Schizosaccharomyces pombe: one gene and its partners. The protein of the gene in region 1 binds, or shares a complex with, the protein of each later gene. Each region holds a gene or a part of one and is shown in the gene's direction. Other genes may lie near its edges.

Region 1 (3,754 bases):
CGTACACGTGCGGTTAAACCATTTTCTGAAAGGTTGTCAACCTGAGCGAGATCACCGGCGTACTTTCCACGGCGTATACGCACATATGCACCAGGCAACAGTTCAACAACCTGTTTTTGAACTTTGAGTAAATCCGGCATTTCCTTAATTGGAACTAAAATCATGTTATTTGTATAAACATTTAAAACCCCATTAAGTGCATCTAGAACATGTGATTGCTTTCGAGCTTCAACGTATATATAACCGACCAGCGAGTCACGTTGAAATGCTGAAATGATTTCTAATGGAGAGCTAGTATATTGCAAATCCATAGCTTTCCGCATTATGGTAAAAACAATATCCTTTTCTTTGCCAATTTTACAGCGAACAGCCCAAATATTGGGATCATTCACTGAAGGAAGTAGAAGACGTTGGGGAACATTGCTTGTATCTCCAACAACAGTTTGGCTACGACCATACTTTTCACGATACTCCTCAGCAAGGCGTTCAGCATCAACAGATTGTAGTTCCTGTCTTTGACGGTCAAGTTCACGATGGCGACGATCATCACCGACGTAATCCGCTCCAACTTCTTCTTCAATGAAACCATCTTCACGACCAATTTCATCTTCCTCATCTTCAAGCTCTTCCTCGTCCTCATCTACTTCTGCTTCAATATCAAGGAATTGGTTGCGGCGGTCATGGCGAGCCCTTTTTCTTCTACCGCCACCTGATTCATCTTCATCTTCCTCGTCTTCCTCATCATCTTCTTCATCCTCTTCTTCCTCTTCGTTTGCATCAGCTTCTTCCTCGTTTTCTTCAACATTATCCTCATCTTCTTTTTTGTCATTGTTATTTACATTATCGACTTCGTTTTCATTCCCATCTTCGCCTTTATTAATTGTGGTATCATTTGGACTTTCGTTATGGGAATCCACGGGAGAACTCTGTTTTTCATTTGTAGTAATTTTAGCAGCTTCAGAATCATCATTCAGCAAGTCACTTCCATTGGGGGATGCACGGGTAGAATTGATTTTAACTGAAGCAGCATCTTGCTCAGCTGCATCTACCTCAGTCGAATTTGCATCTTTATCAATAGATTTCGGAGAATTCGTATCCATTGTGACTTAAAAAAGAGGAAATAGTACCTATTCCCTCAATGCTTTGTTTTTAGACCTTTAATCTAATATAGGCGATAGGTTCGCCGATTAATGAACTTTTTATTCAACAAGTGGTGTTTTGTTAAAGGTGACTTACAGTACGTACTGCTGCCCTATTTTACCAAGCAAGTAGGTCTTGTATGGCTTGCAGCGACAAGAGTATAGATATACGAAAGAAGCAATTTAGAATGGAATACTTACGGTTTTTTTGTAAAATCAAACTTTTGCTTTAAAAGTATTTGCTTTAATGGTAAGCTTGAGCAATTGCCACTGCTGGTAAACAAACTTGTATACACGAAATGCCATACACAATCTTAAAGTTAGACTTGGTTTAATTGAAATTAAAGATAATGGGATGCTCAGATTATCAATAAATTCATCTTACATTTAAATTGTAATATTATGTTATATTCCATATAACTATGAACCCTTTAGGGCAATATCCCTTTGCGTTACTAAAATCCAATATAAATATTAAACTGGATAAGAGGATATTTTTTACCGAGAGAATATAGGACAAAGGTGGTGTCCATATACTATCTTCTTACTCAATAAATCTTATAATTATGATACAGGTTAAATGAGGAATAATATAATAGCCAGCTCTTGGTGCTTGTTCATAATTTCCCCCAAACCAATGATGCTACTCAGCTATACAGCATCGTGTACATTGCCAATACAGTCGAGTTTTTCGAATAAATGCTTAAAATTTAATTTTGGCCTTTTATGACTCTCCATTTGTCAATCTTCGCACCCACCACGGTAGCATATAACAACTTGGTTTTAGCTTCAATCTACTCTTAACCTTCGAAAGTCGATTTTCTCTAAACATTCTTTATTTTCCCTTTTAAACATTACCAATTTTTGCATTTCCTCACAATAATATGTAGTGGTGATGGACGCGTTTGTACTCGTAAATTACCTATACCTACTCACCTAGAACTCATAAATGTCGGTAGTGAAAGAATGGGTTCTTCTAAACCACTCAAAGGCTTCGTGATATGTTGTACCAGTATCGATTTAAAGCAAAGGGTAAGATTTTTGCACGACGAATCGCATTTTTTGTTATTTGTGTTACTAACTTGACAGACCGAGATATCTACAAAAGCAACTAAACTTGGTGCTGCCTATAGATCAGACTTTACTAAGGATGTCACGCATCTTATAGCCGGCGATTTTGATACTCCAAAATACAAGGTATGTCGTAAAATCTTACAAATTACACTATCCTTCAAGAGTAAATGCTGACATTCTTTTCAATAGTTTGCCGCAAAATCCAGACCAGACATAAAGATTATGTCTAGTGAATGGATACCTGTTCTTTATGAAAGCTGGGTACAGGGAGAAGATCTGGATGATGGCCTGCTCGTCGATAAACACTTTCTACCAACTCTATTTAAATGCCGGGTTTGTCTTACCAACATTGGCCAACCAGAGAGATCTCGTATTGAAAATTATGTGCTTAAGCATGGTGGTACATTTTGCCCTGACTTAACTAGAGACGTAACTCATTTAATAGCTGGCACCTCATCGGGTCGCAAATATGAATATGCATTAAAGTGGAAAATCAACGTAGTTTGCGTTGAATGGTTATGGCAAAGTATACAAAGGAATGCTGTCCTTGAGCCGCAGTATTTCCAATTGGATATGCCAGCCGAAAAAATTGGACTTGGCGCGTATGTTCGTCTAGATCCCAATACTACGGAGGCAAAGTCTTATTCTGAAAACCAAAAAATAAGCAAGAATAAAGAAAAGTCTGGTCAATCCTTGGCTGCATTGGCGGAGGAAGCGGATTTAGAACCCGTGATTATGAAACGGGGAAAGAAGAGAGATAGAAGTATTTTATGGGAAGAACTTAATAATGGAAAATTTGAATTTTCCAGCCGTTCTGAAGAAAATTCAGTACTACTGGATGATTTCACTCCCGAAACTGTTCAACCCTTAGAAGAAAACGAATTAGATACGGAACTCAACATCGAAAACGAAGCTAAACTTTTTAAAAATTTGACTTTTTATCTTTACGAGTTTCCAAACACTAAGGTCTCCAGGCTTCATAAATGTTTGAGCGATAATGGAGGCCAGATTTCTGAATTTTTGTCTTCTACCATTGATTTTGTCGTTATACCTCATTATTTCCCTGTCGATGAATTGCCCATCTTCTCATTTCCTACAGTTAATGAGTGGTGGATAGAAAGGTGTCTTTATTACAAAAAAATCTTTGGAATCGATGAACATGCCTTAGCAAAACCTTTTTTTCGTCCATCTCTGGTTCCTTATTTTAATGGTCTTAGCATTCATCTTACTGGATTTAAGGGGGAAGAACTTTCGCATTTGAAGAAGGCTCTCACCATCTTGGGAGCAGTTGTGCATGAATTTCTTGGGGTCCAACGAAGTATTTTGTTGGTAAACACAAATGAACCTTTCAGTATGAAAACTAGATTTAAAATACAACATGCTACAGAATGGAACGTTAGAGTCGTCGGAGTAGCTTGGTTATGGAACATCATTCAAAGCGGAAAATTCATTGATCAAGTTTCTCCATGGGCTATCGATAAGAAAGAAAATCAAGAAATAAAAAAATTTACAAACCAAAATAATATGGTATTTCCAACGTC
Region 2 (3,754 bases), 580 kb from region 1:
CCAGAAAGCTCTGTTGAACTTGTTGAAGACGCTGCCTCTATTCAACGTCCCAACAGTGATTTTGGTGCTTGCAATGATAATTCTTTAGATGATCTTTTTCAAGCTTCACCCATTAAACCTATTGATATGTTACCCAAGATAAATAAAGATATTGCCTTTCCTAGCTTGAAAGTTAGGTCCCCTTCTCCGATGGCATTCGCTATGCAAGAAGATGCGGAATATGATGAGCAAGATACACCAGTGCTTCGTCGTACCCAAAGCATGTTTCTCAATTCCACAAGACTAGGGCTTTTCAAAAGCCAAGATCTTGTGTGCGTTACGCCAAAACAATCGACCAAAGAAAGTGAGCGCTTCATCTCTTCTCATGTCGAGGATTTATCTCTTCCTTGCTTCGCCGTGAAGGAGGACTCATTGAAACGAATTACCCAAGAAACATTGCTCGGTCTATTAGATGGTAAATTTAAGGATATTTTTGACAAATGCATCATTATTGATTGCCGTTTTGAATATGAATACCTTGGGGGCCATATTAGCACTGCTGTGAATTTAAATACGAAACAAGCTATTGTGGATGCCTTTTTAAGTAAACCTCTTACTCATCGGGTTGCACTTGTTTTTCATTGTGAACATAGTGCGCACAGAGCACCTCATTTGGCATTGCACTTTCGAAATACCGACAGACGAATGAATAGTCATCGTTATCCTTTCCTTTACTATCCCGAGGTTTATATACTTCATGGTGGTTACAAGTCGTTTTACGAAAACCACAAAAACCGTTGTGACCCAATTAACTACGTTCCGATGAACGATGCTTCGCATGTTATGACCTGCACCAAGGCTATGAATAATTTCAAACGAAACGCTACTTTTATGCGTACTAAAAGTTATACTTTTGGCCAAAGTGTGTTAGCTTCCCCAGACGTTAATGATTCTCCTACTGCCATGCATTCCCTCTCTACACTTAGAAGATTTTAATGATTTTAGGCTGACTCAATACTTTACCTAGCCTGAAGTATACTCTTATATATTCAACTTTCTAAACCTAAGTTTTTTCTATAAACTTTGAATCATGAAACCTTTTATTTCTATTTTTTATTATTATTATTGAAAGAAAGCAATATACCTTTTAAAAGGTCTCGACAACAAAAAATTTAAACTGGCTAAACTTTTCGAAGTACATCACTTTTACGACTAAATATCTAGAACGACTAGTTTGGTTATTATTATTACGCATGGATTTTGGTTTAATAATTGATTATTTTATAATCAATTGAGCTTAATAATTTCTAAGCAATCACGGGTAAACATACGTACCGAAGTCCATTCTAATTGCTCTTCTCGCAATTGCTGTTGATAGGAATGCTAAGAATTTAGCATTCTTTGATTGAAGCAGTAATGCGATAGGAACTGAGTTGCTTACGTTTTTGTAACTCTACCTAACCATCTCTGATGGAAATATTTAAGTAGAAAACGAATAAAACTTTTATTTTTAAATCACTTCCTTTTATGCATGTTCTGTAAGCGGTAGTATTGTAGCTTACCCTTTCCAATGGAAGGTTAAGTTCACCAGAGAGTTACGAAGTTTTATGTGATATAAAATAGTTACAATGCGGAAGTTGGACATTCACACTTAAGTACCTTCCCAAAAAAAAAATTACGAAAATTTTTAATCAATACTACTTTTTTGGTAAAAATTTAAACATGTTCCGTTGAGAAAGTGAATCATATGTGTGCTTTTTTAAAATTTGAAGATATTTGTAGATTTTGTTTTGTTTACTTTTTATTTGCAACAATCAGAATGTCGTCATCTAAGTCAACCTTAAATTCGCTTATATGAATTTTATTGATTATGACATCAACGCCCTATGAAGTGCAGCTTTGAACGCCAACGATTGTATTTAATACATTGTAGGATAAACCTCGTAATCATAAATAACGAATTGTTTAAGTATGAAAGTTTGCAGAGCACTTAATGTTCAAACAAACAAATCTTTTTAGGTACACTAATTTAAAGATTTTGGTATCTTTATGAATAACGACCATGCTTCCAAGAAATCATTTTGTATAAAGGTACTTACATTTTAAAAATAGTAAAGATTAGTTGTTGACATCTTTTAGGCTCCTTCAAATTGGGAAAAATCATATCTTGAAGTCTGGCCCTTAGTTACTGTACCAAGGCAGTGTATTTGCCTGCGATGGTGCATTTCAAAGGAATATCACGAGTTTACTTGCTCATCACTACAATTCATAGTTATAAGGCCAGCTGGCACTAGTGTTTTACTCGGACGTGTAAAAAGTTCGAAAGCTAATCAACTTGTTGGAATTGAACATGTGGAAGGGAGCCGTTATGCCTTGATTTTTCTTTCAGAAAAATTGGATTTTAAGTCTTTGAAGGTGATAGCAAATCATCAATTAACGAAATCCTCTAAAAGCTTGTCCAACGTCTCAAACAAACCTTTAGGAGATCAATTGTTCCGTTCGAACTCTTTAATGTCACCTAGTTTGTTAAAAAAGGAACTTCACAGAATTCAATCAGATGCTTCTCAAGCAAACGAACGCGAAAGCCAAGCTCCGCATTCATTCGTTACGCATGATCTTATTTCGTCTTCAAAAGATGGCAATTCCCTTACGCATGAATTTGCAAATGATTCCGTTACTGAAATGGTTCAAGATTATACTCCTAGCTGTTCACGTGACGTTAAATCTTTGTTGGACCATCTTTACAATTCCTACTTTTATCAACTATTGATGACCAAAACACCTGTTGTTTTTTATGTAAAGCAAATGGTTGGAAAAACTCGACAACTAGCAGTTGAAGTACACAATCATGTAGAAGAAAAAGCTCTAGTTGATGAACTGTTAAAATTTTTAGATAATCTTAAATCTGTCGATGACCGTAAATCCCGATTACTTCAATGTTTTGAATCACATTTAAACTATAAGGCTTGGCATTTGGAATTCGAAAATGAAGCCCATCAGTATGAGATTAAAGGCTATCGCCTCTGGCTTCAAAACATATTAAATCGAGAAAATTGTCAAATTACAAAACTTGACTTTGAGAGGGAGTTTTCCCAACTGAAATTGAAGGAGTATGAAATTCGTGTACTTTTATACTTTGAGATTCTATACCTTTTTTTAAAATGGGATCCTGAGTACGCAAGGCGTCGGGCTAATGATAACAGTTTGTTGGATTCTCGCGATAGTGGTAAACGAAAATCTCGGAAAAAAAACGCAAAAACGCTTAATCCTTTTGAAACTGCTCAATTAAAATTGGAATTTACATTTGATGGGCTTTGCATACGAAGGACTATAGAACAAAATGCTACCGAACGATCTGAGGATCTCTTATTGAAGTTTTGTAAGGAGACAATAGTCCCATATTACTCCTCTAAATTCCCTCGAATTACGCGCAACCTTTTAGAGAAATGTAACGGTTTAGATTTATTACCAGAACGCTCTCATAAGCATAGACATAGCGCTCCTCCTCGTTCAAAATTGATTAGTAGCAAATCAGAAGCCGGTCGCGCTTTACCTGGAAATACTTCTGGTGCCAGTATATCCAATACTTCTAGTCCTCATTCGGAGGCCTCTATCTCTAAGGATTATGAAATTCTTAAACGTCGAAGAAGCAATTCTGGGGTTCATTCTTTGACTCGGTCAGATTCTTCATTCAATGGTTTTGAGAGGGACACTAGAAGAAGGTCTTCCGATATAGCTCGCATCAAGAACCGTGAAATAAACCTTCCTTCTTCGT
Region 3 (3,754 bases), on another chromosome or scaffold:
CTCAAGCTTTAAATTCTCCTGGTGGTGTAAACATTATTTCAGCACTTGGTCTCTCACTCGACGAATCTGCCAATCCTAATGAGGGAGGTGCTCTGCAATTTCTTAAAGCAATTGCTCGCTTCGTGAGCAGGAATAATGGTTCTGAGTAATGTCTTCGATTAAGTAATTCGTCGTATATCAAAAATTTCTATTTAAAATATTATCCGTTGAATCGTTTCTTTATAATTCACTGACGATTCGTATTAAAAGTTTTTAAATTGAGCATTACTGGCGTTCTTTTTTTTTTTTTTAAATAAATATGGAGGAATTAAAATGCTTTCATGGTAGGATTTGTCCTCTTACCAAAATGAGTAAGAGTAAGTTGGAGTACACAATACAATGTTGCTCGCTCAAAATGCTCTTTACAGAATGTTTATTGGTACAGTTTCATTTTTTCTCATATATGAAATATTTGTTTTAGGAAATAGGCAATCTTTATTTTTCTTGCATACAATGCTTATCTTTCCTAAACACTTAAGATTTATAAATGCAATGTATGTTCATGAATATGAACTGCGAGCGCCAAGGATGAATTACATTAGGACGACTAAAAATGAGAAGTTGCACTCCCGAAGTATCTCTACTTCATACTTCATTATTATTTATGCTTTATATTGATTATTGTTGTTTTACAAAATATGTTTTATTTCCAAAACAGTTGGTAAAATGTAGGATATGTAATGTCAAATACATAATACCAACATCTATTCTTAATAAGTTAGAAAGTTGAACAGTATTGAAATGATTTACTAAAGCTAGAAAGTAGCCAACTGTAAATGGTTAAAGTATTGACGTGTAGTCACATTCAATTTTTGCGCAATATCATTGAATTTCAAATCTAACGATTTTACTTTTGTAAACAGCCAAAAAAGTGGTCATAAAACGGTCAGGGAGGGACTCGAACCCTCGACCTCACGATTAACAGTCGTGCGCAATAACCAACTACGCTACCCGACCTCGGTGTCATCCGTTACATTTAGTAATATATATTGTTAAAAAAATAAAGCGTAGTAAATGTAATTGCTTTTTTGAGCTATGGCTTGTTACATTCTTTCTCTTGAGCAAATTTAGACTTGCTCATTACAATCATAATCGCTTTATAACGTCTATCTGCTTGTCTTCATTTGCATGAAAAAAAATCATATAAACAATGTATGCGGATAGTCAACTCAAACAAAATAGTAGTAATTAAATAGCAATAATAAAGAAGGAGCCTACAGCACCCCGGATTCCCATGTTGTCTCCAACCATAGTACTAACGAGGCCCTCAGACGCTTAACTGCAGTGATCGGACGGGAACTGGTGTTTTCGCCTAGGTATGGCCGTAGACAGCTGTTAAGTTTTAATAAAGTATATAAACGATAGTTATCACTCATTAGGAATTCGAATGTATGTTGGCTCCACTACGAATAAGATATGAATGTTAGCAATATAACCTGAAACTATATTTGACATTCTTTTTTTAGAAATATCATTAAACAAGCAAAATCTATTTTCTATGATTGTTTCAAAAAGTCAAGATGAAAAGTTCAAAACTCAAATTTAAAATTACTTCTTCAACATTACTGATTCTAACAACATAAATCTCCTATCGAACGTATTAATAAAAGTGGAAACATGCTGTAGTTTGTACATCAGGTCAAACAATTATTAATAAAATTAGAAAATAAGTTTTTCTACCTTGAGCCCTTCATTTCCATATTAATATATATATATATATGATTAGCCAAATAGCTGGTGTTGTAACTAAACGTTCTTAACTGCTTTCATATAAAGTAACGGTGCAACGTGTTACTTATGCAGAGCTTACAACAGATAAATCGAAATTTGGGTTAAGCCCTGGTTAAATTTGTAGTTCTGACAATTGTGAGGTATTTTAGATGTTTTCAATATTTTGTTTGAAAGTTTAACAATATTATGGAGGTGAATGATACCTCTTTGCATAAAGGATTTGGCCTTGACATAAATTCTCAACGTGTATTTGGAGCACAAGCAGCAATTTCTCGTAACAATTATTCAAAAGTGAATGCTTCAATTAATCCTTCCCCTCCTAGGAGTAATGATAATTCTAATAAGGAGTTTAGTTATTCTAAGGATGTGAATAACAATGGTGCTGTTGAGGAGCTAAGTCTTACGCAGTTGTTTGAAGTACCTAGTCAAGCTGCTTTTGCAAAACAGAGTTCCCAGGACATTTCGGATGATGAACTTATTCAACATGATTCTCGTAAGGTGATATCGTCGCCTTATTCACCCAAGCAGACACATACAGTGTTAAAACGCTTATACGATCGTCAATCAGTTATATCGGACCATGAAAAGCTGTTGACTCCTCAGAATGTATCTAATTCTTCCCAAATTCTTTCCCCATTTACTTCTCTATTACCATCAACTCTTTCAACTTTAAAAGATACACCTTTGTCAGTTTCTCAAAATGAGAAAAACTTAGAAACCGTTGGAGAAGTCCTTGTACCTGAAACCGTAGCTCAACATAGGACAAAGTTTTACGATTACACTTTGGATGAGATGGAAAATGAGACAGAAAGCGGTCAAGTAGAGACTACACCTACTCGACTGGCGACTTCTCTAGGGTCTCCCGTTCTTTATGGTCGAGTAGAGTCCACTCCTCCTGCTTTTTTACCAGAGACATCCGAAAAACAATATAAACGAAAATTTAGCTTTACTGAGCCCTCGTCTGAAAAAGTTGATAATACGGAAACCAAGTTTTCAAAAAAAACTAAAAACATTAATGATGAAAACTTTCCTAATCCATTTAATGTGATTTCTTCATATGAAACAAGTGCTTCACCGTCGACTGTAATAGATCAGTCTAGTCAAGTGAGCTCAATTTTTGTAAACAAACGGCTGAGAAAATCGGTTAATAATCAAGCTATCTCAAGGTCTGACAGCCTAAGCCTGGATACTCCTAAAATTGATAGTTTATTCACTAGGGCTTCTATTAAGCCATTAAAACCTTCCCAATCACCGAATTCAAGAAGGTCTTTTAAAAACCGTGTACTCGCTTTTTTTAAAGGATATCCCTCTTTTTACTACCCAGCAACTCTTGTCGCACCCGTACATTCAGCCGTAACAAGTTCCATCATGTATAAGGTTCAATTTGATGATGCAACTATGAGCACGGTTAATTCAAATCAAATTAAGAGATTTTTTTTGAAAAAAGGAGACGTTGTACAATCCACAAGATTAGGAAAAATCAAGCATACTGTTGTGAAAACATTTCGATCTACTAATGAGCAATTATCCCTTATAGCAGTGGACGCTCTAAACAACGACATGGTTATTTTGGCACACGGAGAAATTGAGGTTACGGTTCCCATTTCTACTATTTATGTTGCTCCTGTGAACATTCGGCGGTTTCAAGGAAGAGACCTCAGTTTTTCTACTTTAAAAGATATGAAGTTTGAGGAAACATCATTTCTTCCTTCACATGATTCTCAGAGAAACCGCTCTTCTTTGAAAGAAAGGGATTCTTCCTTTGTCAAGAAGAACTTGGATTCAGAAAGTAATCAGCTCATCTTTGACGATTGCGTGTTTGCATTCAGCGGTCCCGTGCATGAGGATGCCTATGACCGAAGTGCATTGGAAACTGTAGTTCAGGATCATGGAGGATTAGTTCTTGATACAGGCTTACGCCCTTTGTTTAATGACCCGTTTAAAAGCAAACAAAAAAAGTTACGCCATTTGAAACCTCAAAAGC

What was found.
Region 2: the proteins of rad4 (region 1) and sld3 are in contact, whole or in part, in a crystal structure (PDB 6HM3), measured with the Schizosaccharomyces pombe proteins. Residues at the interface, in NP_593190.1 of Schizosaccharomyces pombe: Cys14 (codon at 2,145), Thr15 (codon at 2,148), Ser16 (codon at 2,151), Ser38 (codon at 2,274), Asp39 (codon at 2,277), Phe40 (codon at 2,280), Thr41 (codon at 2,283), Lys42 (codon at 2,286), Asp43 (codon at 2,289), Thr54 (codon at 2,322), Pro55 (codon at 2,325), Lys56 (codon at 2,328), Phe59 (codon at 2,403), Arg64 (codon at 2,418); in NP_592946.2 of Schizosaccharomyces pombe: Asp629, Ser630, Ile631, Leu632, Val633, Gln634, Ala635, Thr636.
Region 3: the proteins of rad4 (region 1) and crb2 are in contact, whole or in part, in a crystal structure (PDB 4BU0), measured with the Schizosaccharomyces pombe proteins. Residues at the interface, in NP_593190.1 of Schizosaccharomyces pombe: Leu109 (codon at 2,553), Thr110 (codon at 2,556), Asn111 (codon at 2,559), Ile112 (codon at 2,562), Gly113 (codon at 2,565), Gln114 (codon at 2,568), Pro115 (codon at 2,571), Glu116 (codon at 2,574), Arg117 (codon at 2,577), Pro133 (codon at 2,625), Asp134 (codon at 2,628), Leu135 (codon at 2,631), Thr136 (codon at 2,634), Arg137 (codon at 2,637), Arg150 (codon at 2,676), Lys151 (codon at 2,679), Tyr154 (codon at 2,688), Trp158 (codon at 2,700); in NP_596748.1 of Schizosaccharomyces pombe: Glu181 (codon at 2,497), Val182 (codon at 2,500), Leu183 (codon at 2,503), Val184 (codon at 2,506), Pro185 (codon at 2,509), Glu186 (codon at 2,512), Thr187 (codon at 2,515), Gln190 (codon at 2,524), His191 (codon at 2,527), Arg192 (codon at 2,530), Thr193 (codon at 2,533).

Annotation. Positions count from the first base shown.
Region 1 is NC_003424.3:1,061,213-1,064,966, reverse strand, and holds the start of rad4 (BRCT domain protein Rad4), read left to right. Parts: upstream 1-2,054; 5' UTR 2,055-2,105; coding exon 2,106-2,171; intron 2,172-2,228; coding exon 2,229-2,336; intron 2,337-2,402; coding exon 2,403-3,754. Other genes in the region: DSIF transcription elongation factor complex subunit Spt5, read right to left, coding at 1-1,100. UniProt on the Schizosaccharomyces pombe protein: Essential component for DNA replication and also the checkpoint control system which couples S and M phases. May directly or indirectly interact with chromatin proteins to form the complex required for the initiation and/or progression of DNA synthesis.
Region 2 is NC_003424.3:476,971-480,724, reverse strand, and holds the start of sld3 (DNA replication pre-initiation complex subunit Sld3), read left to right. Parts: upstream 1-2,000; 5' UTR 2,001-2,028; coding exon 2,029-2,070; exon of another isoform or gene 2,071-2,084; intron 2,085-2,118; coding exon 2,119-3,754. Other genes in the region: protein tyrosine phosphatase (M phase inducer) Cdc25, read left to right, coding at 1-975.
Region 3 is NC_003423.3:4,209,131-4,212,884, forward strand, and holds the start of crb2 (DNA repair protein), read left to right. Parts: upstream 1-1,836; 5' UTR 1,837-1,956; coding exon 1,957-3,754. Other genes in the region: proteasome regulatory subunit rpn1301, read left to right, coding at 1-149. UniProt on the Schizosaccharomyces pombe protein: Essential for cell cycle arrest at the G1 and G2 stages following DNA damage by X-, and UV-irradiation, or inactivation of DNA ligase. Plays a role in the response to DNA damage.